2 linked regions of the Xenopus tropicalis genome follow. Each later gene encodes a partner of the first gene's protein in a complex. Links are inferred from orthologs where the notes say so. Each region holds a gene or a part of one and is shown on either strand. Other genes may lie near its edges. The genes, in order: nhp2 and dkc1.

Region 1 (2,458 bases):
TCACTGATGGGGTGCCTAGAATTTTGGCACCCCAGAGAGATTACACCTCTCATTCTCCTTTAATAAAGGCCTAATGAAGATTGCATTGTAAAATGCCATTTTTTTTCCATTTATGGCTTTTATTCATCCAAAAGACATGCATGCCTTAGCTCCAGCACCAAGAGGTGTGTCTTAACATTGTTTGATAGCCTATGACTCCAAAGCAGTCCCCGATTGGCAATCTGTGGGTTCTGGCAGCTGCTGTAAGATGCCATATACAAATCATTATTTATTGAAATGCCAGGGCCTCTTTTGAAACACAGTCCAGATGTGCTCAAAATAATTTTCCTTGTGTAGAATTTAGCATTTTATTTGCTAGATATTTCATGACATTACCAGGGCAAAGTTTAGTTACCTAGAAAAATTTTATATCATTCTTTTTTTCAGAACAACATGGGCTTTTTAAATCTGCCTAAACATCATTTAATTGCACTTTAACAAGATTTTGATTGAAGTCAAACAGCTGTAGGGGCCAATTCCTGTTAACCCCGCTAAATGGCTACTAGGGGATATTTGCTGCATGTTTTCTTAGCCACCCACATGACGTGACAGCATGACCCATCAGCCAAATAAAGGGCCCTAATGGAAATGTGTCCTGAATAATAAAAAAAACCCACCAAAAAAAACCCAACATGCTTTATTTTCTTACCCTAAAACACTAATTGTTCACCTTGACCGCTCCCAGAATGAGCAGTTATCTTAAAGAGAGAATAGGCAGGAAAATAATCCATATATAACAAAAAATATTGGTCATTTATTTCGTAATATGTCTATATTCAAATTGAAAATTAACCTTCTTTGACCCATATCACTGTGCTATGGATATCTTGGGATACCAGGCAGGGGGACATAAATTTAGATCTGTACTCCAGCAAGTGTCAGTATCTGTTACAAAGAAGCTCCCCTTCCAAAATTAGGATCCATCTCCAAAAAACATTTCTTTAAAAAAATGGTGTTAACAGGCTCTGTTAATCAGTAAATGAACTGTAATTTCCTAACTGGCTCAGCCCTAGACAGAAGGGTTAGCTGACACATTACAGCAAACACTTTAATGTCCTCACAGTTTGTCTTTAGAGCTGCATGCAAAGTGTGTACGAAGAAATGTCTGGTACCATTTTCCTCACAGTATGCCAGAATGGTTAATGGAAAAGTATCCTCTAAAGTTGTCCAGATCAGTAGGGTAACGGAAGGGCTTGTACATCCTCTAGACATTCATCATATGCTTCCTGGTAATCCTCATGTGGTTTGATCAGTATCACACAGGTCGGGCGCTTGGAGCCAGCAGCTGCTCCTAGGTCCTGAAACAAGCGCAAATGTATCACCTTACACAAATATCAATACTATACTAGGATAGATGGCCAAGAATTAACTAATCATGTGTTAGAATTCAGAAATAGTTGAAGGCCTTAAAATAACAAGAAATTTGAAAAACTGGATATTTAGGCTACATTGGAGAGATGTCTTTAAAGTGACAACTGGCAGGGCATGGCTTCTCACTGACTAAACACTAAATATCAGATGTATATGGAAAAATAAAAATAAGCCAATTTAAGCTTGTTATAGAATAGAACATTACAAAATACAGGATCAAACCTTGGAGCATCTCACAATCATTTTTGTTACATTCTAATGTATTGTGTCTTTAACTAAAAACCTTGTCTATTTAAAATCTGTACTTTACTTAATTTCATATGCTAATGTGAAATGCCAGCATTTTTCTGGCAAAAGCAAACCCAACCCTTCCTAAACTGCCTACCAAAGCACCCATTGACTATAATAGCAGCAGATCAGAAGCGTGGTAGCACTTTCCATCCAAAAATGTTACGTTTGTGAGCAGTTTTTCACTGGAAAACAGACACTTTCACTTCCCACTAAAATTAATGGAAGCCAAAGGACATTGTCACCAGTGTTTCTATGTCTGCAGATATGTGTAATGCTTAACATTAGCATTCTATGTAGTGCTGCCTCTTGTTATACACAATGACTGGTTCCAGGAATATTTGACTGAGATTCTCAATAAATCACTCAGGTGGCAAAACACCTACAATGGTTTATGTGCCATTCCCTTACACAGTAAATGTTTGCTAGAAGTTTCTAACCAAGAAGAGTATTATGCACAATTGAGTAGGACTTTGTATAGGAGAATTTGTTTTTGCAATTTTGTTTTTAGAAGATCTGTCTATAAGTATTAGTTGTATGACAAAGGACTAAAGTAAAGAAATCACACTCATTTTGCAGTGACTAGATCTGGTAAATATAAGATGTTAGAAGACACCAGTAGTTTAAAGGCCCATTAGGATAGATTTGTGAAGAATCCCTATTTTTCTCCAATAGTACAGGTATGGGACCCATTATACAGAATGCTCAGGACCTGGGGGTTCTTGGATAAGGGATCTTTCCGTAATTTGGATCTCCATAC
Region 2 (4,339 bases), on another chromosome or scaffold:
CCTACAGAAAAAATCAACCATAGTCCTGCTGTATTATTAAAAGCCAGGAGTATGAGTAAGTTTCTTCTAAAGTTTGCTTTCAGCAACAGTAGACCAATAAATACATCCTGCCTACTTGTTGAAATATACCAGAACTGGTAATTAAAAAATTTAAGCAATACAATTTAAAATCCTACTCCTACTAGCCAAGAGCATTTCTCAAGAGAATTTGCATGGCCCAATTTGGTTTTCTTTGGACCATCAGTCCCTGTGCATGCCGTGTACAGTACATCTTTGAAATAAGCAAGTCTCTTCATCTTAACATAAGGTGTAATTTATATCTTGTTTCAGGACGGGACTCACCTGCACTCTGTTGCGACTTTACAAGTCGTGTTGCGCGATCAATGCAGACAATCAAACAGCCTGTTACTTTCGGATCCAGGGTCCCACTGTGACCAGTTTTCTCCGATCTTAAAATACGCCTTATCCATGCTACAACCTCATGTGATGAAGGATTAGCAGGTTTATCCAAGTTAATAAACCCTGTTCTGAGAGAGAATAAATGACTGTGGAAGCAATACCTACACCTTATCCAAGCAGGTACTGAAATTATAAAGTATAAAAAAACAAACAAAAACCACACACTATTCAGGCTGATGTTTATAACCTATTAGCATATATATTATTCCATAGAGATTTGTATTAGAGAATATTTGAAGTGGTGTCCTTCTATGACACCACCTCCAGATTGCCGAAAGAAAAAGGACTACTAACTGGCTTTTTACATGCCTTACCAAGGCATGGAATTTGCTAGACAATGAGCAGTAAATAAAAATGATTCACTCTTAAACCCCAATAGCACTGTAAGCAAACAGTATGTTGATTGAAAAAACACCCTTGACTTACTTAATATATTCAGAAATCTCTCTTTTCAGTGGGTTGGAACCAGATGGAATAGGAGTGTAATGAGCTGTTCGGATGTTTAATTTATCAAAGTTCTAAGGGAAAGAACAAACATATTGATAAAGTATGGTATAAGCTTAACTCTAGCTAATGTAAATTTTATGTGCATAGCAGTAGGGGGATGTAGTATGATTGGGGTAAATATTTCTAGCACTGTAAAAGATATCACTGAAGAAACAGGGTTATTCATTAACACATTTATAAAGATCATATGCCACAAGTCTAAAAAGAAATGCAAAAACATACAACATATTGATACAGAGTGCCATGTCTCCAATTAATTTCCAATAAATATTGATAGCTTCATCCTTGCCACATACAGACCTTGAGAAGTAAAGGCCATTGAGATGTGTCTAGCTGAGCCACTTTAGATTCAGGTTTGATTAGAAAGTCTCCCTCATGTTGAATATCCTGCAAGAGGAGGAAAGGAGTTAATATGAGATTCCCGTATTATCTTAATTCATCAATGACATCATAGGAGATGCTCTATTAAGTGGACCAACCAACCTAGTACACTTTCTGCTGTTAATCCCTTGTTACATGGTACTAACACTTCAGCAAAAGGATAGTTCCATCAAGCACAGAGAAGCAATACACTATTGTCAGACCCCTGAAAAGTTTCCTTGGTTTTTATTTTGCATTACCTGGCCAAATGGAATCTTAATAATCTGCACCTTTCATACACTGTTTTGTTAAATAACTGCATTATTAAGCAATACCCATGTCCGTAACAGAGTGGCCAGTGCCTGTTGCAGCTTCCTCAATGCCTGTTGCAGCTGCCGCAAATATTTGAGACTGTGTACCAACTGCCCTTAGAGGGCAAGGAAGCCACACCTACATTTTTTTTTTTAAACACGTGTTGCCCCCTTGATGCTGTTAAAAAGGAAGGATTTTTTAAGTGTTCTCCCACTGACTGCCTCCTTGTTCTATAAATGGGTTGAAAATCTAGAAGAACAGGGCTGGCAGCCACTATGACCAGCCACATTACTTCTGGTGTGCAGGCTCTGCATTACCGATTTCTGTTCACTGGAAAACAGGACCAGAGCAGCTTCCAGTGCAAATTCTCCTCCACATTTAACCTGAGGGACACTTGCACAATGAATATGGCATGGCTGTCCCTAACCCTTCAACACTACTCTGCATTCTAATGGGAAAACTGGGCAAATGATGAAGGGGCACTTAATATAGTTGGAGGGGTAATTGAGTAATTTATAAAAGAGGCATCTGTGCATTTCATTGCCCTTTAACACTCCACACTTTTGGTCACATTTGCACCAAAGACAGCTTATTTCATTGGTTGAAACCACTAGGTTTTTTCAGACAACTCCCTTATAAAAGTAGGGGTCCACAGACCATAGGATTTGTCCAAGACCTAACTGCCAACCCACATCAGAGGCCTCCAACTCTTAGGACTTTGAAACTCGTGTAAAACTTTATTTTCCCTCAACTTTCAATCCCCAAATTAAGGTTCAGATTCAATACGTGGCATTTCTAATTGAAGGGCCCCCCTCAGATAAATGTAGCAAAACAGCCAGGATCAAAATAAAGAAGTTGCCATTAAATTGCCTCTTTCACATGGTGTTATTTCTGCGTTTTCTAAAGTTATCGCTTTCTATATTGCAATCCCGTATTTAATGGCGGCCAGTGTTGGCCATGCTTTGCAAGCCTTCCGCCTATGGGCCAGTACAGGAAATCAGAACCGACCCAGACAGACCTGCTCAGTGCGCATACAGAACCTCCCTGAATAACCATTGCACAGTATTACTATTTATTATATTAGAGGGGGGACTCACTGCCACGTCCTCTGCTCCGAGAATCTGACTGCGACGCTTTTTCGCCTTCTTTTTGGAACCTAAAAGTGAGAAAAAGCAAAATTAAAAACAAGGCAACGAAATGAAATGTGCAGCTACGGCGCTGGGCACATTCAAACTGCAAACTGCATGGAAGTCATCTGCAGAAACTGCTCACCCTCCCCGTCCGCCATGTCCTCTCTCTCTCCTGTAACACGCGGTGAGTGAGGCCGAATAGTGAGAGCACTAACCGGATATAGCACATGGGAGGAGCTACCCCTGGGGCGCCCGCCCCTTCCTGCTAGGGGCGCATCACATGGCACTGACCGACAGCCTATGGCATCTCTCTCTGTTACGTCTCTGCCACTTGTGTGGGGGAGGCCGCCTGTTAATGCGCCATGTTCAAAATGCGAAGAGCGTGTGTGCTTATTTGGTTTAGCTGGCTGTTCTTCGAATATAAAACATTCCGCAGCAGGGAATCATAGGGCAGATACACTTATAATAAATATGTGGCTGCGGGCAGTGTTTGGATGTTACAGAGGGTATTTGCGCTGATAGATAGCCCTTAGAGAGGGAACAGTGGGACAGGACAAGCAACACGTGTACAGACACACAGTCTTATTCTCTTTACCTATCAGGGATGTGAAGCCAACAACCCCGACTTGCAGCGCTGGGCTCCTCAGTTTGATTCCAGCCTGACTACTATACTATTTCATATAGCGATCTGTTAGAAACAGTAGCAGAAGCTTTATGTTTTAATATATGAAATCAACAGACCTGATCCTGTGTACTACATATATCCTGATAAAATGTAATTGGATTTGCTTCAATCTATATAGAGAGAGAGCTCAACCCCCTTATTACCTGTGAAGGTGTCAGGTACTAGTACTGAAAGACCCTGGCCAACTGGGTCACTCTTAATGCACAGAGGAATTTTAGTAGCTTACTGAGATTGTACCACAACCATTTCTCTTCTGTGTAATTAGCAGCAAACATAATGCCCCAATCTAGGTTCTGAAATCCTGCCCTTGAGTATATTTGTGGTTTTTGCAACAAACTTTAAATACCATTATGGTCACTGTTACCCAGAGGTTCAACCAACTGTTTAGGGTCATTCAAGACCACTAGATCCAGTACAGCATAATTTCTGGTTGGCTCAACAAACTTTGACATAAATCTTCATGCAACAAGTTCATAAACTTGGTCCTATTCAGGGTTGGACTGGGCAACAGGAAATTCCCAGTGGGCCTAGTAAGCCCCTGCAGCCCAGACCCGACCCTTGCCGGCGCTCCCCGGCCGACTGTTCCTCCCCTGACGCATTAAATTTATGCGCGCTCGGGGAGGACGTCGGGTGGGGGACCCTGCGGGCGGTTAGGGGACATGGCCGGCCCTGCAACCCCCAGTCCGACACTGGTCCTATTATCTGTCCCTGGCAGTATTCCACCATGCGTTTTGTGTCCTTGTAAGGAATGTTTCAAACTTAACTCATTTTCTTCAGTAAATGTATTCAAGGTTCGAATAAACATCTTTAATATGAGATTGTTTGCATAGTGTGACAACAACTGTAACAATTTTTCATGATCCAACCTAAGGTGTTTGTGGCTACT

The links.
Region 2: nhp2 (region 1) and dkc1 share a complex: the UniProt entries of both Homo sapiens proteins name them as parts of the H/ACA small nucleolar ribonucleoprotein (H/ACA snoRNP) complex. The link is inferred for Xenopus tropicalis from reciprocal best matches to the Homo sapiens genes NHP2 and DKC1.

What each region holds. Positions count from the first base shown.
Region 1 is NC_030679.2:47,804,731-47,807,188, forward strand, and holds the end of nhp2 (H/ACA ribonucleoprotein complex subunit 2-like protein), read right to left. Parts: intron 1,338-2,458; coding exon 1,212-1,337; 3' UTR 774-1,211; downstream 1-773. UniProt on the Homo sapiens protein: Required for ribosome biogenesis and telomere maintenance. Part of the H/ACA small nucleolar ribonucleoprotein (H/ACA snoRNP) complex, which catalyzes pseudouridylation of rRNA.
Region 2 is NC_030684.2:38,918,782-38,923,120, reverse strand, and holds the start of dkc1 (H/ACA ribonucleoprotein complex subunit DKC1), read right to left. Parts: upstream 3,022-4,339; 5' UTR 2,927-3,021; coding exon 2,911-2,926; intron 2,795-2,910; coding exon 2,736-2,794; intron 1,354-2,735; coding exon 1,267-1,353; intron 978-1,266; coding exon 886-977; intron 528-885; coding exon 343-527; intron 1-342.